4 linked regions of the Medicago truncatula genome follow. Each later gene encodes a partner of the first gene's protein in a complex. Links are inferred from orthologs where the notes say so. Each region holds a gene or a part of one and is shown on either strand. Other genes may lie near its edges. The genes, in order: mediator of RNA polymerase II transcription subunit 19a, mediator of RNA polymerase II transcription subunit 31, mediator of RNA polymerase II transcription subunit 21 and mediator of RNA polymerase II transcription subunit 8.

What was found.
Region 2: mediator of RNA polymerase II transcription subunit 19a (region 1) and mediator of RNA polymerase II transcription subunit 31 share a complex: the UniProt entries of both Arabidopsis thaliana proteins name them as parts of the mediator complex. The link is inferred for Medicago truncatula from reciprocal best matches to the Arabidopsis thaliana genes MED19A and MED31.
Region 3: mediator of RNA polymerase II transcription subunit 19a (region 1) and mediator of RNA polymerase II transcription subunit 21 share a complex: the UniProt entries of both Arabidopsis thaliana proteins name them as parts of the mediator complex. The link is inferred for Medicago truncatula from reciprocal best matches to the Arabidopsis thaliana genes MED19A and MED21.
Region 4: mediator of RNA polymerase II transcription subunit 19a (region 1) and mediator of RNA polymerase II transcription subunit 8 share a complex: the UniProt entries of both Arabidopsis thaliana proteins name them as parts of the mediator complex. The link is inferred for Medicago truncatula from reciprocal best matches to the Arabidopsis thaliana genes MED19A and MED8.

What each region holds. Positions count from the first base shown.
Region 1 is NC_053049.1:10,410,910-10,418,756, forward strand, and holds the start of mediator of RNA polymerase II transcription subunit 19a, read right to left. Parts: upstream 3,022-7,847; 5' UTR 2,862-3,021; exon of another isoform or gene 2,804-2,861; intron 2,657-2,803; 5' UTR 2,537-2,656; intron 1,230-2,536; 5' UTR 1,185-1,229; coding exon 1,154-1,184; intron 722-1,153; coding exon 432-721; intron 283-431; coding exon 58-282; intron 1-57. UniProt on the Arabidopsis thaliana protein: Component of the Mediator complex, a coactivator involved in the regulated transcription of nearly all RNA polymerase II-dependent genes.
Region 2 is NC_053042.1:49,976,859-49,984,082, reverse strand, and holds the start of mediator of RNA polymerase II transcription subunit 31, read right to left. Parts: upstream 3,009-7,224; 5' UTR 1,937-3,008; coding exon 1,876-1,936; intron 1,815-1,875; exon of another isoform or gene 1,795-1,814; coding exon 1,728-1,794; intron 1,652-1,727; exon of another isoform or gene 1,382-1,651; coding exon of another isoform or gene 1,350-1,381; intron 108-1,349; coding exon 10-107; intron 1-9. UniProt on the Arabidopsis thaliana protein: Component of the Mediator complex, a coactivator involved in the regulated transcription of nearly all RNA polymerase II-dependent genes.
Region 3 is NC_053048.1:13,820,622-13,828,256, reverse strand, and holds the start of mediator of RNA polymerase II transcription subunit 21, read right to left. Parts: upstream 3,022-7,635; 5' UTR 2,872-3,021; exon of another isoform or gene 2,845-2,871; intron 2,632-2,844; 5' UTR 2,580-2,631; coding exon 2,373-2,579; intron 1-2,372. UniProt on the Arabidopsis thaliana protein: Component of the Mediator complex, a coactivator involved in the regulated transcription of nearly all RNA polymerase II-dependent genes.
Region 4 is NC_053046.1:4,595,000-4,602,579, forward strand, and holds the start of mediator of RNA polymerase II transcription subunit 8, read left to right. Parts: upstream 1-4,563; 5' UTR 4,564-4,729; intron 4,730-5,300; 5' UTR 5,301-5,393; coding exon 5,394-5,697; intron 5,698-5,778; coding exon 5,779-5,903; intron 5,904-5,985; coding exon 5,986-6,169; intron 6,170-6,487; coding exon 6,488-6,601; intron 6,602-6,691; coding exon 6,692-6,756; intron 6,757-7,414; coding exon 7,415-7,580. UniProt on the Arabidopsis thaliana protein: Component of the Mediator complex, a coactivator involved in the regulated transcription of nearly all RNA polymerase II-dependent genes.

The sequences.
Region 1 (7,847 bases):
GAACACGTTTTCTCTTAATCTGAAGAATATAGATGCAGCGAACTAAATTTCTTCAACCTTTTCATGATGTTTCTTTGAGTGATCAGCACTGGAATCACGATGCCCGCTTTTGTCTTTCTTTTTGTCCTTGTCTTTGTCTTTGCTTCTGTCCTTGTGACGATGTTTGTGCTTCTTATGCTCCCTGTCCTTGTCCTTATCCCTGTCTTTGTGCTTCTTATGCTTCTTCTCTTTGTCTTTCTCACTTTTTGATTTTCCTGCAATTGTTGGTATTCCTTTCTCCGCCTATTAGGGAAAATACAAGGAACAATCAAGATACAAGTCCACAAAGAACACATCATCAAACTTTGTTAACAAAAACTAAGATAGCATGCTGAATGATTTCAGCAAGAATTAAAAACTAAGTATGATCAAAATCACTAAAAATTTCTTACAGCAGGCAAATCGATGGGAGCTGTTTCCCTTAGTTGGAAAGACTCCTTGAGTATATCCAAGTCGAAAGGCTGTATCCGAGCACTTGTCTCTCTTGAGAAAGATGTATTCTGAATGAGTTCATCCAATTGCATGCCATCTCCTTTTCTTACTTCTGTGTCTCCTACTACACTGTGCAGGTAGTGTGTGTCCGCGATTGACACAGGAAGCGGCCTCTTGCAGAAAAATTCATAGTGCGGTATTAATTTGAAATGACTTATGAGATCCACAGCACCTGTCAACTCCCTCGGTCCTGAGGATTCAAAAACACAGAATGTCAAAAAACACAGTTTTTCTTTGATGAGTAAGTGACTTACTGTAAGTATTAGCTAAATATAAAATATACACAAGAAAACTTTAAAAAGGGATAATTGCACGGAAATCTTCAAAAGATGCTAATAGAATTTAATGTTTTCCATTCAATTCCCAAAAAATGAACGGGTGATAATTGACAAAGTTTCAAATCTGCCAAAAGGGCAAATAAACAACTAAAATCACGAATAAATAATTAAAAATTTAACCCAGTATTGTCAATTAGATAACAAGCACAGTCAGTGCCATAAACATATGAAATCCGGACTTGTATATACAATAATACAAAACAGAGACATCAAATAAAGATTTTATAGAATTAGGTATACAACATAAAGCACTATCATAAAGCACTATCATAAAAAACTTTTACCTCCTCCAAACTTTTTTCCTTCAGGATCCATGATTCAATCTTTCATGGTTCAATCTTCCACAGAACCTGATTAAAGCTGTCGGTTATTGGAACGAAAAGAATGTTTACAAAATTATTAGGGAATACATAATGAAACAGATGATACCATATAAAAATCATCATTTGTCACATGAAAACCAACAAAATTATATAAATCATTCTTTCTCAAGCTACCCTCTTAAATTACGGTAAAGAAGGCTTCTAAGCCATTTCAAAAAGACATTTAACATGTGCCACAAACCCCAAAACTTAAACAAACTAACTGGAAAAAAGTATTTCTATACCCGCAACCATTGTTGTACAGCTAAAAGCTTTGAAGGAGACTATCAATATTTTAAGAAGCCCTAGCATTCAAGCAAAACGCCATCTAAGACCAACTAGGAAAAACAAGTGTTCCCAGTAAGGCCAACAGAAAATATTAATCCATGCCTAAAGCTAATAATCTGCAAACAGAAAATGAACCATAGAATTCATTCACATCGTTTTCTTTTTCCATATTTCAAGAAATTGAAATATCCAAAAAACCATAGACCATAAAAATCATTCTAGACCAATGAAGCACTGAAACAAACGTGCACACCAGACACAACAGTGACACATCAGCACCGGTAATAATTTGAAAATTAAATTAATTGAATGTAATCACATGTGTCGGTGTTGCATGTCCCATGTCGGACACGCCTTTGATCAAAAGTGTTGGTGCTTCAGAATTCTAGACAATCCCAAATAGCACATGGAATCATCACCCAAATAATACAGTTGATAACTTAAATTCATACAGTTACAAGCCTACACACTAGCATAACAAAAACACGTTCAGCTTGTGTAAGCATAGATAGACTAAAAACATCAAACTACACATGACCAGCACCAATTTATATCAAGAGAAGCATTCAGTTTCACATGGATACAACGGCTCCTTTAGATGATCTAAATTGTAATTACTTTTCATTCAGTTTCATATAGTCAATAGGGAAGACATGAACTTGATTGGTTCAGTTTTGAAAAGAAAAGGGGTGGAACCAAGGGGGAAAAAACAGCACAATCATGTGTTATAGTTATAAAGTGCTTATTTCAGAAATTTTCATGGTTTCAACCATCAATTGTTTCTCATCCTGTTTCAATTTCCACCTTTGAAGATTGTTAAATATTCAAATCCAACGTTCAAAAAAATTTAACAGCTTTTCAAAAAGTGGTTTTCAACAAAAAAAATCTAAGTCTCAAAACATAGACCACAAAAAACCACAAAATCTTCATCACATTAATAACGCAATTAACAAAACATGCTTACGCCCTAAAAAAAATCAACTTCAAAAACAATCAAAACAGTGAAGAAAACCCCACCTGTAGAGTGAATAATTCTCAATTCCCACAAAAACCACCAAATCTTCTTCAAATTGGCACAAACACAAACCTCCAGCAATTGCAAAACTTCAACCACCCCAACAAAAATTTCTTCGAAAGCTGCACAAAATTGAAACCTTTCATCAAAATAAGCCAAAATCATCAACAGGGTAGTCAAGAATAACAATAAAAAAGTAACTTTTTTATGTATTCATTGAAAATTCGGTAATTGACCCATGAAAGAGATAGTGTGTAAAAGAATGAAACCTGCAAAATTGCAGATCCAAACAGTGAAAGAAGAAGAAAGGGATTAAAGGGTTCTCACAAAAACAAATAAAGGAAAGATCTTTGTTGAGGTTTCAGTGTTGGAACAATCTTTGTGTTTGTTCCTTCGGTAGTACTCGTGATTGTGTTGTGTTCTTTCTCTCTGTTTTTTTTCTCTCTCAGTCTTATGAATGAAAAAGAGCAAAAACCCAAAATTCTTTTATGTTCCTAGTTGCCACCTCTTATATATATTTAGCTTCCATTTTCTACAATTTTTCAATTTTACCCTTTTGATATTGCTATGCTATTGGATCAAGTGTCAACTTACCCCTAATGGGTAACGGTGGACTATTTTTTCATGTAAGATTTTTACTTCTAGAGAAAGAAAGACATTGGAAATTGGAGTATAAAGGTGCATTTGATTGGTTAAAAAATAGTAAAAAAATGGGATAGAATAATTTCAGTTGTATTACGTTTGATTGTTTTAGCGATTAGACAAATTGGTAGGCAAGCGAAAATTTTGTCATCACTAAACCATAATAGAATTTCTTTTTGTCTCAAGCACAAGTTGTTTAGCCTCCATTTTTTGTCATATCAATTGCCCGTGGTTTATGAATGAGGTAAAATACTTCAAATATATCGTGTAAATTGCTATGGACAATTTATTTCTATTTTTGAAGATAAAATTAAACTGGTTTAGTATAAGCTATAAGTTATTCTTACAAGCTATTTTGGAGAACTTGTGAAAATAAATCGAAAACGACTTATGAACATGTCATAAGTTATTTTCATAAGTTTTCACAAACAGCGTCACAAGTGTATAGACCGGTGCATAACTCAAATAAACTAATTCAAGCATGTTCAGTCTTTTTAACTCCTCTAAAGTGTAGAAAAAAAAATAGCATCTAAAGTGAGCAACTTCATTTAACATTTAACATGTATTACTAAATCAAATGTAGATATTATACACATCTCATATTTATTGAAATAACAACACCTAATTTTATCACATTGTACTCTACTTATTCTACTAGAGGAGTCAAATCTATTATCAAAGTAATAGTAGCAGTGACCATGTTGAAGTGGTACATAACCAAGTAAGATAGAATTGTGTCACTAATTCAAGCTTCAAAACACATTGAGAAAAATGTTATGGATAACTTAAATCCGTAGTATAATAAAATATTATAACGTGATCATTTGCACACAGTAAGGTGTTAAAAAAATTGTTAACTCGTATATAATAGTACAAGAATGATGTCCAAGGTTCAAATCTTAAAAACTAACATAACTACTAACTTATTAACATTTGTATATCTTAAATAAGGAGCGTTGGTAATCCAAAATAAAAAAATAAGGTAGGTTATGTAATTTTTATCTTGTATTAAATTTTCACAAACTTTTTTCTACAAGATTATGTTCAAAATCAAATTGATGAAAAAATACAAGAGTCGCAAAGCAATACTAAAGAGAGTAGCACAATTAAATCAACATTAATTGATACCATTTTGCATTCATCTAATCAAATCTAAATTAAATCAATATGATCAATAATGAATCAATTTTGATATTAATCATTAGATTCATTATTTTTCATATCTTGCTCACAAAATCAACATTCCTTGAAACTAGATATCATGGTCATCACCTATTGTTATCATAAATCAAGAGTCGATTTTCGAGAAATGGAGCTCACCATAATTTGTCAACGTTGATGAGATTTTATTCTGGTTTTCTTCATATCTATCAACATCAAGAATCTTGTTGCCATTGAACTATGAGATAAACCAATAGCGTGGATGACGTATGAGGCGGTAACACAGTGTGTAACGACTATCACATTTGATTTAGCATTTATTCATCTCAAACCCTAAAAATGCTTGTCGTTAAGACAGACAGTACAATGGATAAATGTTTTTTCTTGAGTACATTTTCATTGAAAACTTCTTCAAAACAAAGATATGGTCTCTTTGGTGTTCGCCGCCGTGAGGCAAACGAAGAATAAAACGCCGAATTGAAATCTTCGGTTTTGGTGTCTTAGATCGAATTAGGGCAAGAAAGTCAAAATGTGTTTGATTACTAGTTGCATCATGACATATCCGCATTGTATAGTCATTTGGGCAAAACACTTGTTCTAAACAAATATGAATATTATATTAACTATATAATAGTCGCATTTTAGTATATCTAAAATGAAATTGGATTGGGCCAATGCTATATCTTTTTGGGCCTTTTTTAGATGATGTGTTGTTGGTATGTTAGAAGAAATAATGCTCATTTAAGTGTGTACTGAATCTCAAACTAATTTCATTGCAATCAACAATGATTAGAGGAGTGAAGTTTTTTTTTTTTTAGATAAACAGATATAAAAATGTGTTGCGCTAAATTAAAGGTTATTAATATGTCTTGAGATATATCAATATTAGCATCATACACACTTTAAATTCAAAACATGAACCAATTCATTATATGTATTGTGTACTCCACAATCAATTCTTCCTCCGGGATAAAAGATACATAAAAAAAGTATATCTTATCACTTTGCTTATATTTCATTTCAAAAATAGTATATCTTATCTTAATTTTAATGTATATATTATATATATAATGTTATTATAAATAAAGTTAGTTAAGGTTTCAAGTTTATTTTCCCATCAAAATACACATGTGATTGAAAATTCTATTGTTTAAAATTTCATATATTATTTGATTTGACATTATTTGAAATTGTGATGAAAAATAAATAGTCTATCCATCGCTTAAGTTATGCTAAAGCTTTCCTACGATTGAATGTGCTTTTGTAAATTCATATGTTAGAATAGCAAATAAATATTTACTATTAATTATGGACTGTGAGGTGGTAGAAAATAAATGTGTAAAATGGGAAAAAGAAATTTTTATTAAAAACTTAAGCCCAAACTTGGATCTATGTGATTTACTTCTTATTAGTTGACTAAGTCAACCCCCTTTCCTTCCTTTTAGCAGAACCACTCATACACATTTCTTTAATTCCGTCTTTCGCTGAGCTCCTTAAAGAAAATAGAAGAACTAAAAGAAGAAAATAAGGAGAAAAAGGATGCATAGAAGAAGTCCATGAGATGGAGGAGGAGAGTAGGAAGTAGTGCATGCAAATTTAAGAGGAAATAAAGGAGAAGAATGGAAGATAGAGATGAAACCTAAATCATTTCCTCACCACAACATGGTTCAAGAGCACTAAAAATATTTATTTTTAGGGTAGTGTTAACTTGTGCCTTTAAGGCACATGTTAAGAAATCCAAAAGAAGAAACTTTCTCTATGATTTTGTGCATTTAAATGATTAAAAAGTTAAATATTAAATGCAATACACACAATCCAATATGTTTTTTTATATATTTGAATCATTAACTTGTGCCTTGAGGGCACAAGTTAACATTTCCCTTATTTTTATCATGGTTATGGGTTCATAAAGATAGAGAAGAAAGTGAAATCAAGTTGGAGTTCGAAGAAGGAGATGAAGTTATAACTTATAAGAAATATTTATCCCTTTTCTAAGAATAAAATGTAATATAGGAATTCCCCACAAAACCTCTATCAGGAATTATCTAGGATCTTTGATTTATACATGTCATTAAAAGTTTGTGTTTTAGGTTGGGTGTTTTCTCAACCTTAGGCATTTGTGTATTTTGTATGCATCTAGGAAAAGTTATGTGTACTTTATATATCCCCTCTTCAAATATGTAGATGAGTTCTAGAAATGAAACTCCCTTTAATTAAAATTACATGTTGAGTTTTATAATGGATGATGTATTAATATAAGGTTTGGGTAGGTAACCTAGACTTTTAGCTTGTAATCTCAACGTGTAGAGTTTAAATTCCTTAAGAAATGGTTGTATATTGACTATCAATGATACTTTATTAATAAAAAAAAAAATCCTTTTACCTAATTTATGAAGGAAAAAAAGGTATTGTAAAAAGATGGAATTCTTGATATTTGTTAATCAATTGAGTATTATATAAGAAATATAGATGTTAAATTTGATTAAATGTATTTTCATATTAAGATCAGGGTTTTAAGTGTTTGAGTATTGTTATAGGCCTACTAGAGGACCAAAGTACTCAATGTAATGCAGAAAAATCGTGTTTTTAGCAGGTCTGATTGAGGGAGCTAGGTGTTGCATTGTGGGAGATAGGCACCTTAAAATTGAGAGCATACACTTACATGGACACCAAGCTTCTTAGAACACCTTTTTCATATTTTTTTCACCTCATTTTTAGTGGTTTTTCTAACAGTACTTGTTAGTTATATGATTATATTAGTATGTTTTAACTTAAAGTATGTTGATTTATGTCAATTCATGAACTTTTAAGGATATGTAATCATTAATACCAATAATATCATCATATACTTGTTAGACAAACTTATGACTTAAGTGTATCACATGAATGGATAACATAATACAAGACATAATGAGGTATAAATGATTTCTCCTAAAAATGAAGGGAACTCTCCTTTTAAAGAATGGACATGTGTAAGGGCAGAATATTGGGATGGTGCTTGTGGTGTAAGGACATACATAGGACATGAGTTACAATTTCATGGATTACTTGCATATGAGGGATTGACAATAAACATTGCAATGTTAGAGTAAGATAATCGTGGTTTATCCGGTAATAGAAGGAACTCTTCTTCTAAAAAGGGAACATATGTAAAGGCGGAGATAATGAAATACCTCTTATGGTCAAAGAGTTTACCTTACATATGGATTACAATCTATTGGAATACTCATGTTTGAAGTATTTATATAAAAGACTTAATATCATATTAAGCAAGTATGAATGTTATAGTGTATCAAGATGTATTACATTAGTATGAGATACAAATGTAATAAAGTAAGATGTAACTTAATGAACTGAGGTGTCAAATATACATGCGCGTACACACACTCACACACACATATATAGAGAGAGAGAGTGAGAGGGGGAGAAATAAAGTTTGTGCTGAGAGGATTTTTTCCAATGCCTAACACATCATACATGTCTGTGAAACATCTAGAAATAAATCTTTTA
Region 2 (7,224 bases), on another chromosome or scaffold:
AAATCATACAGTGTATGTAGGTAGGATTTGCAAGGCATTGAACAAATTCCAGTTCCAGCAAAAACCGTTGTCGCCCATCATCTGGATCCTTGTATATACTCTTTGGCCTAGAGAAAAACAACCATCAGCGCTTAAGTACAGCTCAATATGTCCAACAAATCCCAAAATCATACTTCTATTAATGAAAAAAGAAATTGATTAAGACAGAACAAATTAAAATTTGTAGTATACGGAAAGCCCTTGAAATGGGCACACACTTCATGCTGAATAGAACACAAACACTATTGGTTATAACCAATTTATGCAGGGTGGCTTGAGAGTTCCTCTAAAAAACCAACCAGGCCTGGTAGGCTTAAACTAATAACTTTTCCAGCATAAAGTGCCTCTCCTTATCTTTTGCACCATAAATTAAATTTTCAAACTGTTACCAGATATGCCCATTATAACAAAGACCGATCATAAAAAAGAGTAAAAGAGCAGACTGATCAGAGGGATGAGCTGCTGTCTAAACCCAATCCGAGAAGAATAAGAGACTAGAAAGACCGAGTCTCCAAGTTTTGTACAAGAAGGATGAAAGACGCATCAAGTGGAACAACAAAACTAAAAAATCAGAGACGGATAAAACAGTTGGAGGAATGACAGAAGGGGCATATGCCAATTGGAGAGTGGAGCGATAAAGAATCAGCTCTATTGTGCAGCACTTGTAGGCACTCGTTTCTACTTTTTTTTTTCCCGTCATTCCAACTTTCCTGTTTTCGCTCTCGCCATTAATTTTTTAGGTTTTACCGGTCTCTGTTTTATCAAATTTGTATCAAAGCTCCCAATCCTGGGAGAGTATGAAATCTACAGGAAGGGAATCCTTAGAGACAAATGGACGAAACAGGAAGGTAATTGACAGGAAAAGAGGCTAATGATGGACACTCTAATGCTTGCAGTGAGAGCGGCTGTGGCTTGTCACACAAGGGTTGATCATGACTAATGAGTCGGGAATCACAGAGGAAGGGAAAACATTCTTCACAAAGGCTTAGCCTCACCATCACAAACAATTTTTCTAAAATGTTGACTTTCTGACCCCCCACCTTTAACTATATAGAAATGATTCCATATATCTCTCCATGTTAGAAAGATAGAATACAAGAAAATGAGAGAATGTTATCAGAATTCATTATAATTGGTTGAATGATAACAATTATACTACTTTTTTATTTATTACAGATACATAGTGTAACAAACTCTAGCCAACTTGAAGCCTGTAGAACAAGCTACTGACTCTAACTAACTAGAAGCTTCCAACAGAAGCTATTAACAACAGAGAAATTCAGCTGTCATAAGACAGCTGTAACACCTACCTTACAGAGGCCGGGCTCAAGGCCCGGTCCATACACTATCTCTAACACTATACTCTCCCGTTGCCATTTGTCCCTTCTGTTATTCCTCCTCTAACTGTGTTTTCTCCCACAACAACTTTTGTTGTTCCCCTTGATACGTCTTTCTTCTTTCTTGTATAAACTTGGAGGCCTACTCTATTTGTCCCCTTATTGTCCTCGGGTTGGGTTGAGATAGCAGACCCACCCCCTTGCTTACTTTTCCCCTTTGCTCCCCTTCTACGATAGACTAGTGTTGTATTGGGCCTATCAATATCAAACACAACCTTAAAAAAAAATGTGGCCATGATAATGTGACATGCAAAAGGCATTGAAATTAAAAAAGATTACAATTATACTTACGGTGATGGTGGGGTATCTCTTGGACTCCCGCTTTCAGTTTTAGAGGCCATGGAAACAGAATCCTCAACTACAAGAACAAAAACACACCTATTTAATGAAATATAATTAGCAGGGTTAGAGCTTGGAACTTTTATATGACCCAGATCACCTTTGAATATCTCTCTTAATATAAGAAGGGAAGATGTTGTGGAAAACTTATTTTTGCCCATCAATGATTGGCTGCCACATATCACTTTTAAGGGTAAATTTTGTCTTAAAATTACTTTTTCTAACTAAATGACCTCACTTAACTACTATGATGTCATTTAACTATAAAAAGCTTATAGTTTGATTTATTTTGCTCTTCAAAAAGTCAGTTCCATTACATGCCAACTATAAGCCAGATTTTGGTTGACACGGAATCCAATCAATGGAGCCAAATTCTCAATTTCAAAATTCAAATTTCAAACAGACTTTATATTTATCCTTCAATACTCATATTCTTTCATTTTCCTTTCCTCTTTTTTCTGACTTATTCTTATCTACATTTTTTCTTCTTTTCATTTCTTTAGCTTCATTTTCTTCTCTCATTGCAGGAAATTCTTTTTAAAAGGAAGAACACAGACAGGTAAAATAATTTCTTTTCATCTTTACAAAACCATGAAAATGATCATTAAACTCATTATTTCTTTAATTTTTTATCTTCATTTTATTGTTGAGCTACATATGACATATTTAACAAACTATAGAATCTTCAACATCACATATGAGGCAAAACAAGAAAATGTATAAAGATGAGAAGTTAAAGAAAGAATACATATCCAAAAACAGTCCTAACACAATTTTACAATTATATCAACAACAAAAAAGCAAATATACAAAATATATTCATTAGAAAATGCTGATGATTGTGCCTTCTTAGTTTGTTTGTTGTTTGTCTTGCAAACTTGTCAGCTGATCTAATGTTTATCCTTTCATTGTCAGGAAGATTCCAGATCACATACGAGCAATAAGGGAAGGAAAAAAAAAAAAAAAAAAAAAAAAAGAGCCCATAAATAAGAGATAGAGGGATGAGCAGCTGATTCTCAGAGTGAAAGAATTGAGAATATGGTTTAGTATCAGTTTGGTTTTATTTTTTTATGCATAACAATTTCGGCTTTGTAAATAAATAAAAAACTATGTTTTTAGTTAAACCACAACAAGTAAAGTAATAGCATAAAGTGAATTTTTTAGAAAGAAATGAATATTATTTGAGTCATATTACAAGAAAATGTAAGTGAATTTTTTGTTAAATCATAACAAGTAATAACAGAAAGTGAAAAAAAAAATTCTTTTGATTTACAAATAAAAATTTTATTCTTCTGTAAAAAAAAAATCCTAAATTCTGAAGAAAAAAAAAAAAAGGCTGTTCTATAGATTTTTGTTATCAATCTGTAGTATAAAAAAAAAACAGACTTTTTTATCAGTAGCATCAGAACTAAAAAAGATTCATCTACAAAAGAAATTTTTACATCTCTAGAAATAAAACAAAATCACATCCAATTTCATATTTGTATTGTTGTTGTTGCATGTAATGGAAACAAAATATGTAAAGAACTTGACCTTGATGAAGACAACAGCCCAGGTTTAAGTGTTTGTGTAAAAATTCTGACCCAGATCGGGATGAAAACACGTAAGCTCTTTCCCGGCGCGGTGGTTGCAAGCTCCGGCGTGGTGGTCACCGGCGAAGGTTGTCCGTTCCTGATTTTTTTAAATGGGTTTTGTAGAGAAGATGGAGGGGACTCTTTTTATGGTGATGGATTTTCAAAAGCTTGTGCGTGGATGTCAAGATCTAGCCGAAAAGATGGTCGTAGGGAAATTTAAAATCATCTTTGAGTTGAAATAAATTTGATAGAGTATAATTACAGATGAAAAGGAGAGGATGAAGATGGTGGAGCAATGTAACGACTGCCGGAGACACACTGAAGGAGGGAGGAGGCGGCGGCGGCTAGGGCTTGTTTGAGAATGAGAGAGTTTTCTAGATTTCTTTGGTGAAGAGAGAGAAAATTAACTTTGAAATAAATATGGTGTGTGTGGAATAAAGTTAAATGACAAAAAAATAGGCTTAATTGCACTTTTGGACCTCTATCTTTCCAAAAGTTGCGGTTATGGACCCCTAACTAATTTAAATACAAAACAACCCCCTATGTTTTGATTCTTTAGCAGTTTTGGACCCCCAAGGCAAAAAAACAAAAAAAATATTGACACGTGGCACCTCACTTAGGGTGCCACGTCAGCGTTGACCGAATCAACAATGTACTGGGGTCCAAAACTGCCAAAGAATCAAAACATAGGGGGCTGATTTGTATTTAAATTAGTTATGGATCCATAACCGCAACTTTTGAAAAGATAGGAGTCCAAAAGTGCAATTAAGCCCAAAAAATAAAATAAAAAGAAAATTATAAAAATATACTCTAAGTTTGTACGAGATAGAAAGGGGTAAAGGGGTATAGACTTTTGAGAATTGCTGTTCCCACATTACATAAGGTTGTGCCACACGAGTAAATGACGTTTTTGCCCCTGCGGTAGTTAACTACCGAAGTTTGAAACCGGCTGCAGTTAACTACCGAAGGTCCTTCGGCAGTTAACTGCCGACGAAAAAACGAAAAAAAAAAAAAAAAAACATCGGCACTTAAGTGCCGAAGAACTCATAATATTTTTTTTTCAAGATTCTCTTAGACTTTCAATTCCACACTACACTGAAGTGTTTCTTACATATTTCAGAAATAATGTGCTTGCCACTTTGATACAATATACTCCCTCTGGTCCTATTTACAAGAGACAATTTACTTTTTAGATACATCAAATAATTTATGTATTTGGTTTATTGACTAGATACATATATTATTCAAATCTAAAAAGTCAACCTTCTCTTATAAATAAGATCGGAGGGAGTAGTATACAGTGGACCATATTAGACAAAGACAATATTATCAACAGGAGCAATTCTTCATTAGCTTTTGTGAAAGTAAATAAATAATTCTACTAATCACAATAGGCTTAACATCTTTCATATTTAATTATACATAATTGCATGTGTAGCATTAGTGCATTACACATTTCTTTCTATATAATATATTGTTAGTAGTAAGTTTTCATTATTTATATTTATCTTGAATGAAATCATGAGATAGTAAGTTTTTAATATTTCCAATTGTGGAGGTTAAAGTCTAAGAGAATCTTGAAAAAAAAAATATTATGAGTTCTTCGGCACTTAAGTGCCGAGGTTTTTTTTTTTTCGTTTTTTCGTCGGCAGTTAACTGCCGAAGCTGCAGCCGGTTCTAAACTTCGGTAGTTAACTACCGCAGGAACAAAAACGTCATTTACTCGTGTGGCACAGCCATATGTAATGTGGGAACAACAATTCTCTAGACTTTTTTTATTGCAAAATTAGTGTAACATAATAAAAATAAAAATAAATAATTTCTTTAAAAAAATAATTATTATTATTATTTTATTTTATTTTTATCAAATAATAAAAAAATAGTAGTAGTTTATTTAACCTATAAAAATATAATTTAATAAATGTTATTTTACATACGCGCGCATATATATATATATATAACGACGTGTTTTTTTACAAGATCTAAAGACGTGTTGTTACATTAATTAATGAATATTAAAATTTAATTTTTTAATATTCATAAAGACATAAGGTAAATAAATTTCATTGTTACATAAAAATAACGGTAAAACATTGATCGTTTGATACGTACAACATATCAAAGAGAGTAGTATTAGAAAAAAGAGTGATGTGTATGGATTTAAAGTGAGGCAGTAACAGACGAGATATAAATAGTTTAAGAGACAAGTTTTAAAAAAGGAGTAAAAAGTCAATTACCCCCCTGAAATTATAACTTTCGTCAAAACCCCCCTGAAATTGTCAAGCGTCTGTCAATTACCCCCCTTCGTTAACTTCCTCCATCCAACATGCTGATGTGGCCGTTAACTGCCACGCGGCGCTGACACATGGTCAAAAAAGTCATGCCACGTCATAGGGGGGTAATTGACTATATTTTATTTTATATAATATATGAAGGAAAATTTCGAACAAAAATAAAATAAAATAAAATATAGTCAATTACCCCCCTATGACGTGGCATGACTTTCCTGACCATGTGTCAGCGCCACGTGGCAGTTAACGGCCACATCAGCATGTTGGATGGAGGAAATTAACGGAGGAGGTAATTGACAGACGCTTGACCATTTCAGGGGGGTTTTTTACATTTTGCAAAATTCAGGGGGGTTTTGACGAAAGTTACAATTTTATGGGGGTAATTGACTATTTACTCTTTAAAAAAGAGTGACAAAATATAGGCTTAATAGGTCATTTGGTCCTTTAATTAATTTCAAGTTTTGATTTTTGTCCCATAACTAATAAAAGTCAGGTTTTGGTCCCTCAATTGTATCTCCGTCGGTCAAATAAATCCTTGGCTGTTAAGTTTAACCCCAAATGTCTATGATGGATTACTTTTAGAGTGGTCCACCATAGATCCTATTAAATATTTTAATTTAAATCGTTTGATCTTTATTTTTTAAAAGAACCATTAGATTATACATGTCTATTTTATCTTATGATGTACCAGCAACACCTAACTTTTTTTCCTTTTCTTCATCGTTCTCCCCCTCAACTTCTTCATCATCTTCATCAACATTCTTAAAAAGAAAAAAAAAATCCAAAAACTCATAAATCATCATCAACCAATTTTTCTTTCCTTTCTTCATAATTCTATCTAGCTTCTTCCCTATCCTCATCTCTGAACAAATTTGCAAAAAAGAAAAAAGAAAAAAAATCCAATCCAATTTCAATTCAATTTACAGAAAATCAAAATAAACAACCCAATTTTTTTTTCTTCGAAGAAGAATGAATTGAAATTCGATTAAACAATAAGCAGCATTCACTTATCATTACAATCAACAGCAAGCAAAATTAACAACCCACTATATTAGTTTTTCTTCAATAAGCAACGAAGGATGGTGAGAAATAAACAACCCAATTAGTGGCTATAACATATATTGTTAATATAGAGTTTTTCTCACCATCGTTCTCATTATTACAATCACTTTCTTTCTCTATTCACACCATAGCCACTAATTTTCCCTTTTCTCTCTTTAACCAAACCCTTTTTCAAACAACGTTTGTGTGTGTTGGGGTAATGCAGACTTGTATTTTGGCCTTCTGTATGTTATTTTTTCATTTATGTTCGTTACTGGTAGTGTGGAATTTGGTGGCCTGTGACGGCAGAACCTAACTGCGGTGGCGAAAGCAATAACAATGAAAAAGAAGAGGAAGATCTTAAATTGAAAGATGAGCCTCTTGTGATGTTGGATTTGATTTGACAGAAGAGATTCGAGTGGGAAGGATGAAGAGGAGAATGGATTGGAATGTGAGAGAAGAGAAGAGGCATGAATGGTGATGAAAGAACCCTACTTTCTGGGTTTCTAATTTTTTTTTTGCCATTTATACTTGCCACGTGGA
Region 3 (7,635 bases), on another chromosome or scaffold:
TCCATCAGAATTTCAGTCATTCTTAGATAAGCAATGGTCGTTCAAGGTTGAAGTTGGTGATGGTAATATAATAAATAATTGGCATTGCTTTTCTGTGAAAAGGACTACTGATGACTCTGCTGTCATCCAACAATTCATAGCTATGCATAATAGAAAGGTACATATGCCCAATTCTTTTCATCTGCTATATTTTAGACCTTTAACTTTAGCAGAAATCTAATTTTATTAATTTTATACATTTAATTCCAGCTTTTAAGAAGAGGCTGACTACATGAATGTCAGTAACTAAATTAGCTAATGAAGAACACTTACTGGTAAAGACATTTATAGGACTTAAATCATAGAGTTTGATGTTGATCATGTGGGTTGATTAAACTATTTTAAGTTTTGTTTCTGTTTTGTGATATCAATGGTATATTCATTGATGCTATTTTGATTTGGTTTCGTGCTTGCAGGGTGTTGTCATGCTGTCAACCATGTTTGGACATGACTTTGGGGACCAGATCGGTCGCTACGCCGCGACGTTAGTGAATCCCAACTATAATGAGTTAGAAGTTTTGGTGCAGAGGAATAATGGCGGCATTTTCCTGACAAAGGGATGGCGCGCACTGCATGACTTTTACAATGTTTCACTTGGTGCCTGGGTTACGGTTGTTTTGGTTGGGAATGGAAAGTTTAAGATAAGGATTAAGGATAGGTTTGGTAAATCGATTCGATATCCAACTTTCATCCCAACCATGAAGTTTGTCGTTAATAGGATTGATGAGGATGCCAATTTGTCTCCTATGTTTCCTTTCAAACTGTTGTGGGACGATGTATATGTTATTCATCTTATGTTGATCGTTGTTAGTCATCACCAAAATGCTGTGTTGTGTGCTAGAAGGATGTTTAGTACTTTTATTGTAAATAAAGTGATTGTAACAACATGGCCTAGGAACAAAATATGGTTCTGTTAGGTAACAAAAATAATTTCAATTGGAAAAGATTTTTAATTAGTCGTTGTAGCAAGCTATTATGTGTTTGATTTTATTTATGGTTTACGTATATGGAGAGTATGTTCTGCCATTCCATGACATATGTTTTTATCTGCTGAAAACGCATACACTTTAGACCAATTTATATGTATATTAGTATTTGGACAATTAATTGACGGGTTTATAATCTAACCAGTTTCACAGATACATTGGTGTTATCCTTTATATTACAATTATGTATTAATAGGCAGCTTTTTAATCTAACTATGTTGACACATACATGGTTATAATCCTTTATATTCCAATTATGCATTATATCTCAAATTGCAATCTAAGTTTCGGAGTCACATATGCTCATTTCATACAAAACATAGTGACAGGTAAAAGCTAACATTTACTAAACAAATTAACATACATACATATAACATGAGTTCTTTTAATGGACCTTATGATCTATCGCACCTATATTTTTTAATAAAAAGTGCAGGTAATGTTTTGATGCCGCACGGGTGAAAAGTCTAATTATATTTATTGAAATAATATACTCCACGAGAGGCCCAATTACAATAATCAAATTTCATTCTCCACGACACTCAAGTGCCGTAGTTTTTTTACCTTTTTTAATGTATATGTAATTATGGTTGTGGAACGGCAGTTAACTTCCGCCACAAAAAAGCGAACAGTTAACTGCCGTTGGGGGCATTTGAGTCATTTTCTGGTGTGGGACAGTAATTTTTAAAGTGTAAAGAGCAATGCCCTCATGCCTTCTTCCTCTCCTACTCTTTTTCTTCACTCCTTCTAAACCAGTGATAAAGGGTTATCTGAATATCTTCCCCTACTACTCTGTGTTTAGTCTTCCCTTATCTTCCCTGATCTAAGTTATTCCTCTTTGTCGCGTTTTAAAAACTGATTTTTACTTAAAAATCGATCCATGACAGCAACGTAGCACGTTTACATGGGTGATGCGGTGGGAACAGACAATATCACAGTGGATCAGCGCTGGGATAACTCGGTCAAAGCGGCCGCCTCACCCATCTGAACCACTCGAGCGCGGCTGGGAGCGGCGGCATCAAAATTTCCGCTCCCCACAGCTATATCAGCTGTAGCGGCCGCTATTGACAAACACACGCCAAGCATTGATACTCCATCAAATTTGAGCAGAATTGTTTAAAATGTATGACACTTGTTGTAAATATGATCGTATATTTTGTAATTATTATTACAGATTATATTCAGCCAGTTAATCTTACCCGTTAGGAATAGCATAGTCCATTTAATTAGTTTAGTGATTCAACTCTTATTACATTTAAAATAATATCCAAAAGATTACTCACAATTTCTACAGTCCAACATAACCATATTTAAAGCTTCTACGAAACTTTGTAAAATGCAACATACCTGCTTAGCAGCCTTGACCAAAGAAGCACCCATGAGCTTCGGTTCTTCAGAAAAATTTGCCCCGTCCTCCGTAGGATGTGGAGGTGGTTCGGGGTAATTTGGCGAGAGGCGGTTAGGAGGAGCATCCCTTTGCAATGTTCCGACGGTATTTAAAGCTAAGTTTGCAATCAAATTAACTTGTTCTTGTAGCTGAGAGATTATATCCATTACAAGAACAACTTTGTGGTGGAAATTGACTCAATAAAATTCTAGTTGTCAACTGCAAAATAAGGAACAGAAAGTAGAAATTTGAATTTGAAAACGAACAAATTGATATATAAACAATTTATCAAACACTTGGCATACATTATAAAATCTAAACTATTACGATTGGTTGAGCAATATAGTGAAAACCCAAAAACAAACACAACAGAATCAAATGCAAAACTTAATCACAAAAAGGAGATGAAATCAAAGATGAAGTTTTGATTACAACGAAGCCATTGACTCCCTCACTCACCAGCAGTTGTACTTGTAATCCCACCCACAATGGCGCAATTTTTTCTCTCTTCTTCGAGAGTGTTTCTCTCGTTTTGTTCTTTTCGTTTCTTAATCGCACCAGTATTACCTATTATTAATTGGGTTGATGGGTCAGTCTTAGATCATGGGTTAATGGGTAAGCTAGAAACCCATTTGGAGTTGGTCGACTAGTTTTTTTTTTTTTTTTTGGCATAATTGATCTGCCAATCCTTTAACTTATTTCTTTTATTCAATTTGCTCCAATTTTGATAATTTTAATATCTTAAAAAAAAAAAATTGTTGGATTACGGAGGTCTATCAGATTTTATAGTGTATCAGTAACACCTAATTTATTTACTTTCTTCTTCATCTTCATTCATCCTTCATCAATATTCATCAATAAAATCAGAAGAAAAAAAATATTTAAACCTACTATTTAATTACTACACCACCATCATTGTCAACTTCATCTATCATCATCAACACCCTCTTTCATCCTCATCAACTCAAACCCGAAATTAATCACTCCACCATAACCATCCCTAAATCAAACTTCCAACTTCAAATCTCACACCCAAATCCAACATTATCATCATAATCCACATAATTGCTTCCCTAAGTCACACCGTTTCTGTAACACACCAAAATCAAATCTCATACCCAAAATCAACATTATCATCAAATGGGTTTTTGAATTTTTTTAGAAATCCAACAATTTTTTAGATACTTGAGCTTTATATAAAATTGAATTACAATTAAACCTTCAAAATTCAAAATCACACATAGAGTTGTCAAAACGGGCGGCCCGGCTCGTTTAGGGTCGGCCCTAACGGGCTTCGGGCTTTATCGGGCCGGGCCAAAAAGCCCGGTTGAAAAACGGGCTTGAAATATACTACCCGAGTCCGGCCCTACACGGGCCGCGGGATTAACGGGCCGACCCGTTTTAAAAATTATATATATTTTTTTTTTCAAAAAGTACTATAAAATACTCCTATAATTTTTTTTTATAAATAATATTTTTAATATGTTTAAATAATGCCTAGAACAAAATAAATTGTAAACATTTTCGTACAAACGTCGTAAACTAAAACGGCGAGGAAAACAATTTTAAATAAATTAGATACGTTATGGTTATAGATATTTATATATTCGATCTTTAAAATTATAAATAACGAAACGAGTGAATATAATTTTATATTACATGTATATTTGTGTTAATTCATTGAATTTTCACTTTTATTTATTACTTGATAATCGACTAAGTAAAGAATTATTTGAAAAATATATATAATTTATAGGATTTTTTTTGTTATGCGGGCTAGCGGGCTACCCTCGGCCCGTTCGGGCTAGCCCTAACGGATAGCGGGCTTTTTAGGGCCGGGCTAAAAAGCCCTATTAAAATTCGGACTCAATATTTAAGGCCCAAGCCCTATAATTAATCGGGCTAAACGGGCCAGTCCATACGGCCTGGCCCGTTTTGACAGCTCTAATCACACACATACAGATTCCCAAATCACCGTCGAATCATTTCAAAACCATTTCATTCAAAACAGAAAACAAAAAGATTCTTCAAATCACTACAAAAAAAATAAAAAATAGAAATCCCTTGTTGGGAAACTCCCTCTAACGAACCGACCCTGAACCAACCACAACTTTCTTCTCCCGTGGAATCTCCAGTACCCACGCCAGTAATTTGGGTCGTCGTCTTTGTAAGAACGATTCCTTGATGCATTGGTGTGGCTTTGATTCCGATTCCGGTTATGAGTTCCCTCTCTGATCCTTTGCTTACTTGTAACTTCGTCTTCTCTTGTTTCCGGCACGGTGGCAGTGGCGATGGTGGAGTAGTTGTAGCTGTAACTCCCACCTACACTGCATGGTTCTGAAATGACAGAAATTTCTTCAAAAGCTTACTCCAATGGGTCCACGTGTGGTAGATCAATTTACTGAAAATGATAGAAATTAAACCTTCAAAAATTTCTTGTGCTGAGTTTATTTACTTTTATGGAACAGAACAGATCCATGCTTTTGCATACGGGTCATTATTTCTTATGTCAAATTTGGAACTTGTTGAGGTTTAATTGAGGTTTTGTATGAAGATTGATAAAGATGATATTGAAAAAAAAAATTGGGTTTTTCTATTTTATTTTATGAAGATGATGGAAGAAGAAGAAGAAAGTAAATAAATTAGGTGTTGGTGATACACTATAAAATCTTATAGACCTCCCTAATCCAACGATATCTTTTTTTAGAGGATTAAAATTATCAAAATTGATCAAATTTAATAAAAGAAATAAGTTCAGGGACGTGTTTGAGAAAGTTAAGACTTATAGGACCAAATTGAATAAAAGAAATACGTTAAAGGATCGGCAGTTCAATTAAGCCTTTTATTTTTTTAAATGAAAGGAGGTTATACCATTTCATTGATTAAAATGTGTTCAATATAATTTGGTATTTCTAACAAAATCTAGAAACTAGTTGAGGATATGGCCGCCTTAGCTAATCTAGGGGCTGCCTCATTTGCTTGTCTCCTCACAAACTCAACACTAGAGTTGACATAGTATTGTTCAAAGATAGTTTTACAATTATGAATTATCATCCCAAATTCTGTAAAATCCTGATGTGCAGAGGAAAAACTATCTACAACTTTTTTTAGCATCAAGCTCAAAATCGATAGGTCCCAAGTGTAACTGATGAACCCATTCTAAAGCTGATAACAGTCCAAGAGCTTCGCCAACATGTACCTCCCAGACTCGAGTAAACCATTCAGTTTTTGCCAAAACAAAATTGCCTCATCTCTTATACAAACTTCTATTCCCACTCTATTAGAAAGCTGGGAGAAAGAAGCATCAATATTGCACTTAAATCTTCCTTTAACTGGCTTGATCCATTTCACATTTCCTTCTTGTCGCAACTGTGCACAAGATGTATTACAAATCCTACATGCATCTTGCCAATCATGAAGCATAACATTTTCTCTCTCAACAACATAAACTGGAGCATCAATTACCTCATCCCACACTCTGTTGTTTCTTTGTTTCCACATAGTCCACAACACACAACAAAATAAAGTTGCATCATCCTTAGATAAATCATGTAATACTTTGAAGATAATATTCTTGTTATCCATATCTTGTAGCAAAATAGAAATAGAAGAAAAGAAAGGAAGCATACTCCAAACATTTAAGCTACTTGAAAATTGAAAAAATAAATGAAGTGTATCCTCATTGCTCACCGTACACAATGTACAATTCATAGGGCATGTGACTCCTTTATCTTTTAGACGTACACGGGTTGGTAAGCAATTCCTACAAATTTGCCACATAATTTTTTTTACCTTCGGAGGAATCTTGAACTTCCAAATTATATTCCAAGAGCCTAGTACCTTGAAATGGGATGTCTCAAGTAATTCTTGAACAAAAAAACAGTATGCACTACGAATAGAGTATTCGCCATGATTTTCTTTTTTCCAGATGAGTCGATCTTTAGTCACTGATGGGTAGAGCGATGTGATTTGTAACGCCCTAGTTGTTTATTTAATTAATTTGAATTATGTGGAGTATATATATTTTTATATATGATGTTTGGTGATTTATGCGGAGTATATATATATATATATATATATATATATATATATATATATATATATATTTATATATATGTGATTTTTGAGTGTTTTATGTGGTGTATTATTTTATTATATAGTTTATTTAATAATAATTATAATAAGTATGAAATATTAGTTATTTTGGAGTTTGGAGAGTTATTTAATAATTATTAAAATTAATGGGGAGCTAATGGAAATATTAGGGAGTTAAGTAAGAGGGAAGTTGAGAATTGGATGTCAGAAGCAGTTTATGTGAAACCAGGAACAAGGGAGAAGAACCAAGGGAATCCATTTTTGCTGTGCATTTTTATTCTGAACTAAGGTAAGGGTGAGGTTTACTTCAATAGTGTAGATTTTAAAGTCTGATTTGAGTTTAACAGGTTTTTGGAGTGAAATTGAGGAATTGGGTTTTAATTGAATTTATGGTTTTTGGGGTAGATATTGCTGTTCTGATGTTAGAATTTGGTTTTGGTTGCATAGAAACATTCATTTCTCATCTGTAAACTGATTTGGGGAGTGATTGGGAGGAAAATGGGATTTTTGGGAAAAACCAGTTTTCTGCCCGTACAGAAGTTCATCGCTCGCCTCGCGAGTAGCTGTGCTCGCCATGGCGAGTGAGCAACTTCATAGCTCGCCTCGCGAGCAGACCAACTCGCCATGGCGAGTAGCCCAGATCAAAACGTGATTTTTGAAAAATTGTTATAAGATGTTTTGGGGATGGTTTAAGGTACCTAGATGATATTAATGATGAATGGTGGAAGTTTTAGGTTAAAAAGATGAATAGGGAACTTAGAATTGGGATTTGAGTGAGAAAATGGCACTTTTCCCGAGAGCACCTGATTTTCACTCGCCTCGAGTTCGCCTTGAACTCGCCATGGCGAGCTAGTGTTTTTGTGAACTCGCCATGGCGAGCAGATGTGCTCGCGAGGCGAGCTGCACAGTTTCCTGAGTGTTGATTGTTGTTGTATGAATGGTGATGATTGATGTTGTTGTTTTGGGCATAGTTATATTTAATTATGCATTGTTTTGGTTGATTGGATTGCTGGATTGATGAATACTGATGATGATTTAAATGTATGTTAATTATTGAATCATACATGTTGTTTAAGTGGAGTCACATGGAGTTGCATTGCATGGTCAATTGTATGTAGATATACACAA
Region 4 (7,580 bases), on another chromosome or scaffold:
ATCATAGCAACAATTACAGACTTAAGAGAAAAGTGAGATATTAAAAATATCATTGTCCAAGAATTAGAGTAGAATAGCTTAAGAAATAATTGAGATGATGAATGTAAATGACTGAAGCTAGCTCGGTATTTATAGTATTAATGTCGAGTAGGAATGATGATATGTTATTTGGAAATTGTTCCATATCAGAAACAGTGCACCACGTAAAACCAATGGCCACATTGCATGTGCAGAGAAACTGAAACAAATAAAAGGGAAGGATGCAAATTGGATATAACATGGAATACGAATGGGTACTTATAACAGGACTTAGGCAGGAACATACATAGGAGGGAATGATACTATGGTTGGCGGTTGAGAATTTGACGTAGGTTTTGTTATTGTTGCAACCTATTTTAGTAATTTACCAATCATAGCAGAAATAAATTCCTGTCCTGAATGCTTTACTTGTTTTTAGTTTGTTGACAGACCAGGGAGAATTCGAGAGTCGTCTAATTTTTACCTAAGCAACAACTTTTCGTGTTGGTTTAAAGATTTTCAGCCCAGATTTCTGATAATATAGCAGTAACGAGGAAAATCTTAGTGAAATAACAAAGATGTTGCCTTGTCAGTTATCATCTAGCAGTGACATATTTGTGTCAAAAAAGCCCCTTTATGTACAAGTGTTGTGCTAAGGATATTGTCTTCCTCAAATTTGTAGCAACATTTCTTCTGCTTGTGGATCTAATCTATCTCCAGATGAGAAAGCATGAACATAGGGTCACATGACCATGTGCATTCAGAGGATCCAACTCAAGCAGTCGTGTGGCTGCACGTTTAGCAACATCTGCATCTGTTTTACTCATACCACACACTCCAATCAATGCCCCCGAAGCAGTCGTGCGAATTGACAGATTTATTCTCAATATTGTAAAATGCTATTCAAAATGATCCTTCTGTTAGCTTCTATCATTAAAGATTATGACATGTTATGTTAACTAGATATGTCCCCACGTTGATCCAATACATGTTGTCAACTTATTAGGGACTAAATAGTTTACGAAGTAATTTATCAATAATTACAAATATGCATGAACTAATTATTGATAAATTAGTCCCAAAACTCCATATAAATTTCAATATAGACAAACTAGTTTATACTTCATAGTATGGTGACAATGATGTGAGATTCTATGTCATACAGTCTAAGGGTAATAATCAAGTGACTATTTTCACAAACATTTTAGGGTTAAATATGTTTTTGGTCCCTATAAATATGTCAAATTTTCGTTTTAGTCCCTCTAAAATTTTCCTTCAACTTTTAATCCCTATAAAGTTTTCAATCTTCACCTTTGGTCCCTCTTTTAAAGTAAACTCATATGTAGAATTCATATTATTTAATAAAATTTTCCAGAAAAATTCAAAATATTATAAGAATGACTCCAAAAAAAATTAATTTTTTTTTTAACAAAACATGAATTTAATATGAATTTTTATATTGTTTATGGTTAAAAATTCATATTTAATTTGTGTTTTGTTAAAAAATAGAATATTTGACACATTTCTGCACAATTTCATTACAAAATACAAAAATTAAATTAAAAATAGGGACCAAAAGTAGTGATTGAAAATTTTATAGGGACTAAAAGTTGAAGGAAAATTTTAGAGGGACTAAAACGAAAAATTGACATATTTATAGGGATCAAAAACATATTTAACCCAACATTTTACTATTACATGAATTTATTTGTTAGTTCACAAAAACCAAAGACTGTTTTAAGATATGCTTACAATTTTGGATGATAATTTACTACTCGTCTTAGATATAAGAAGAAAAAAAATCAAACAAAGTAGATATATATGGTTCAAATCTAACTTGTTTTGACTTTTTCTTCTTCTTATAGTATCAATCATGTCTTAAATATGTCATTCTTCATTGCACTTTGATCATATTTTGACATTAATTTCTACACTTTTTTGTATTTGACATTGGTCCATGCACTTTATAAAAAATTTACAATTGGTCTTTGTGTTAAGTCCAAGTTAAAAAAAGGCAAAGCTAACGTGTGTCATGTGAACCAATTATTACACGTCACATAACACACTAAAAGACAAAATTTTTAGAATTAAAATATTCCGAAGTTTTAGTATGAGTCTCTGCACTTTCAGTACTCTTTTATATTGGTCTTTTCACTTTCATATTGGTCCCTGAACCCTTTATTTATTTATTTAAATCTTTCAAATATATTATTATATTTGTTATTATTTTGTTCATTATTTTTATTGAGAATAATTATAAAAAATTCCCCTAAAAAGTTATAAAAAAAAAATCCTTCTTAAAAAACGAATAAGCTTTAATCGTATCACATCGTCACCTTTTTCTATAATTAACCATTATAGATTCTTTAGTAATGGCAAATCCCCATTAAAGTTTAAATCACCATTATTTATACAATATGATAGTGGCCAGTCGTATGACAAGTAGACAGACACAACAATACGATTGTACGAAAAAGAGACAAAATTAAACAATATGTCATGAGAATTCTTAGCTATTAAACATGTAAACTTGGAATAATAGTTGAATTATTATTAAATATTTTTTTAAATTTAATTTATTATTAAGAAATCATTTTTAGAGCAAATTACATTTTCCTCTTCCCATCATAGACGGGTAAGGATCTTATCCATTTATAAAAATAAATGAAATATACAATTTGGAGAGAGATAGAGATATAAAATATGTAGTGGATTATTCTTTACTACTTTTTTGTGTGTCTTTATCTCTTCAAATGGTAAAAATGAAGAGGATTTTAACTCCTTAAACATCCTCTAATCGAGTTAAGATCCTCTTCATTTATAAAAATAAATGGAGAATGCCATTTAAAAATAGATACACACATAAAAAGGTTGGGGGCCTTACTATTAAGCGAGTCCCACCATCATTAGTTTTTATTTTTATTTTTATTTTTATTTTTCATGTGTCATTGTCTCTCCAAATGGTACAAACCGAAAAAGACATAAATGGAGAGGATTTCACTCCCTCCAATCTTACATAAATATACATTACCCTCTCTTGAATGCTAAATATATACAAAAAAACAGGTTAGAATCCTCTCCATTTATGTGTTTCTCCATTTCTTCAATTTGGAGAGATAATACACATAAAATATTGAAAAAAGTAAAATATAATTAATGATGGTGGGACCCACTTAGTGGTAAGACCCACCATCTATTTTTTGTGGAGCAAATAGTCACTTTAGTCCCTGATTATGTAGCTCGCTGTCACATAAGTCCCTGACTCAAGATTAAATACAAATAAGTCCCTGACTCTGCACTTCCGTTATCACTTTAGTCCCTGACGTTAAAAAAATCTGTTAAGTGATGATGTGGCGCATATGAGGTGCACAGGGACCAAAGTGAAAGTAGAAAATGGTCACTTTGGTCCCTGAACCAAAAATCAATATGCCCAAATTGAAAATAAAAAATCCCTAAATCTTAAATTCTTAAATGTCATCTAATTATCTCTTTTGTTCAAAATCAATCTTTCATTAAACACCAACATACTGTTAGGTCCCTGACTGTGCATACTTACTATCAGTTAGGTCCCTGACAGTAAACACGAAATTTCACTAAAGTCCCTGGCTATTGGGACATTTTTGGCTTGAAAGCTGATCTTGAGGCAATGGTATGTTGGGCTAAAGTTTTGGAGTTTTTTAGTAGTGCCATAGTGTTGTGGTTCCGTTACCTCTTTCTCCCTTTAGTATATAATGACATCAGGATTACATATATAGATAAATGAATTATGAACGGTGTGTTTGATTATAATCCCCGTAAGTATTTTAAAGTCATAGCTTGATTTTTTTATGTGTCTTTAAACAACAGTATCCAATTTTTTGTGGAGAGATTTGAATAACTAATGCATATTAAGTTACATGAAAGAACTTATGCTTTAGTTGCTTTAGCTTCTCATGAAAGAAAAAAATTAAAGTGAGAAATTTGATAATAAACTTGGAAACATAAACAACTTATGTTAGATGTAGCACTAGTACCTACTATGTAGAACAAATTTCAAGTTAGAAATTATGTTAAAAAAAATCCAACATAAATGAATTATCATTTGAATATATCTTGAGCTCTTGATTACTGTGTATGCTGAGATCTACGAGGTAGAGATATGAATTATCACGTGAATATAACAATAATCAAGAGTAGTAGATGCTATTGGATTTGTTAATTCATTTGTCAGGGATCTAACTGATAGTAAGTATGCACAGTCAGGGACCTAACATTAAGTTATGTTTAATGGAAGATTAATTTTGAACAAAAGAGATAATTAGATGACATTTAGGGATTTGAGATTTAGGAATTTGATATTCAATTTGGGAATATTGATTTTTGGTTCATGGACTACGATGACCATTTTCTACTTTCACTTTGGTCCCTGTGACACCTCATATGCGCCACATCATCACTTAACAGATCTTTTTAACGTAAGGGATTAAGTGATAATGGAAGTGCAGAGTCATGACTTATTTGTATTTAATCCTGAGTCAGGGATCAAAGGGACAATTTGCTCATTTTTGTGTCTATCTCTCCGACTTGCAAAACCCAGAAAAAAAAACAGCAGGCTCGCGTTTCCTTTCCTTCATCTTTCCTTTCCTAACCACACACGCGTTTCCAGTGTCACGAACCCAACAACACCACCACGTCCACCGCCCACAACCGTTGCTCTCCTCTCCTCTTTCAGGTCAGTTTTGAAATTATTATACTGAAATTGAATCAGATATTGAAATTGAAATTGAATTAAGACAGTGATAGCAGAGCAGCACTGAAATTGAAATTGATTTTAACTTTTAGTGTTGCCTCACTGTCACTGATATTGGAAGCAAACCACTGTTTCATAAGAATCATCAATGCATTCAAAAAGTGATAACACATCATTATATGATAATGTGAAACCATATCAACCACAGTAAAATCAGAAGAAAAAAACAATTTCAATTGAGTTAATCAATCATCGAAGCTTCTGTTTTATTGCCACCTAAAAGGGGGAAAAAAAAGTAAATGTAAACCATTGTGATTTGTTTCGTTTGACTTGATTTATTGTTGATTGAAAACTGAAGGATTTGACATATCAAGTTGGATTATGTTGGGAAATTGTGTTACATTTTTCTGTTGCAAATTCTTTTTCAAACAAAGCGTTTTTATGGATTTTTTTTTTTTTGAGGAATAGGATAATCATGGAAACTGAAAATGTGGCTACTGCGAGTTGGTGCAGCTCCTCTGATGTGTGATTAACCTTTTATTCTATTCTGCAGTACTCTATATTTGTCTGTGGTCTAATTTTCGAGAGAGAACAAGAGTTGTTGCGTTGCGGGGATTGGGACGGACAAACAGAAAAGGGAAGAAGAATGGAGGGTGAGTTGGTGCAGCAGCCGCAGCCACAGCAGCAGGAGAGATTGAACCAGGCAGTGCAGCAGCAGCTAAACCTAGAACAAGTAAAGACACGTGCTATCAGCCTGTTCAAAGCTATATCAAGGATTCTCGAAGATTTTGATGCCTATGGTCGCACCAACACCAATCCCAAATGGCAAGATATTCTGGGTCAGTATTCCATGGTCAATCTCGAACTCTTCAACATCGTTGACGATATCAAGAAGGTCTCCAAGGCTTTCATAGTCTATCCCAAGAATGTCAATGCCGAAAATGCTACAAGTATGAACACATAATATCTCATATGTATTGTACACTTTTCATCCATTCACATTTCAAATCACCGTGACAATGTTTTATCAGTACTGCCTGTTATGCTCTCCACAAAACTACTCCCTGAAATGGAGACGGAGGACACCTTGAAGAGAGATCAATTGCTTCAGGGGATGCAGAACCTCCCAATTGCCACTCAAATTGACAAATTGAAGGTTATCTCCCCTTTCCACTTCACATCTACCTTTCCTCTTCCGTCTTCCCTCTTCCCTCTTCATTCTTCATTCCCTCTTGCAGGCTAGAATTGATATGATTGCCGCAGCCTGTGAAGGTGCCGAAAAAGTATTGGCTGACACTCGTAAAGCTTACTGCTTTGGAACTCGTCAGGGCCCTGCCATTGCCCCCACTCTCGACAAGGGTCAGGCTGCCAAAATTCAAGAACAGGAAAATCTACTCCGAGCTGCCGTCAATGTTGGCGAGGGTAATAATTTCACCTGCTTCCGCCTTGTACTATAATAAATATATTTATAGATATATCACAACCAATGGTCACTCTTGTTCTAAATACATATTAAGATCTAAAATTTCTTTCATATGGATAATTCTGCTAATGTACATTTGTCACTGTTTGCATTAGACTTGGTTTAGCTCATAAGGACTTCTTGAGTACAAGAAGGTGCTATTGGTTGGCTTGCCTTGAATAAAGTTTTTGTTTGTTGAATTTAAACTTTCATACCAATGACTCTCTAAATCTGTATCTTTATGGTGATTTTTTTGGATATAATGGAACTTCATGCAGGATTGCGGATACCTGGAGACCAGAGGCATATAACTGCTTCACTTCCTATGCATTTGGCAGACGCATTTACGGTCAACGAGAGTGCACAATCTTTTCCTGACGGGTCTAGCAATAGTAAATCACTCTTCTTAACTCTCCATCTCCAAAATATTTTGATTTTATAATTTGACTTCGAGTGGCATTTATATATACTATTACTTTCAGATGTGTATATGAAGAATACCCCATTGTCATCAAACAGTATGGGCGGCCAAAATTCGTTGTTACAGGTCTGGTCATTCACATTTCGATGAAGGTTTTATGAATGGATATTTGACTATCTTCTTCACTCTTGTTTTTTAATACTGTAAATAAAGGGTATATGTGAATTATGGTTACTTATGATTTTGGATTTTCTTGCTTCAAATGATTTGCTTTCTACCTTTTCATATCCGGTTTCGCGATTTTGAAATATTCTACGTCATAGTCTCATATTTTAATTTTATATTTGAAAACCCATCTGATCCTTATTAGATTGAACTTGAAGGACAATAAAATTTGATAAATTGCACAGCTACTTTAAGCGGCGCTGCATGGTTGATTCCTCATCTAACCCTATTTTTTTTCTATAGATGAGGGGCCACACATACACATAGGGAGGGGGAAGGGTGGAAAACCTGGGATCAAACCCAGGCACCCACATGAAACCTCCTCACAACCAACCACTAGACTGTAACAATGGGGACAGACTAATTTATTGGGAGAAGGCTCAAACTCTCACCTCATCTGGCCTATTTGATTTTTACCTCTCGTGCACTTCCCTCATTGCCGAACTTTTAAACCTATGGAATGAGAACTAATTACTTCATTTGGTGGATTGAAATTATGAAAAATATCGATTTTTCTAGTCGTAAGTTTTTTAATCTTCTCACATTATTGCTAATGTAGACATCGGGATCACAACTTTTGGGAAGATCAGCTGCATCTCCTTCTGCTGCAACCAGCGCCACTTCTTTTGACAATACAACAGCTTCACCAATTCCATATGCCAATTCACCTAGGTCTACTACAAATATGATGAATACGCCATCCCCTCAGCAGCAAACCCCACAAC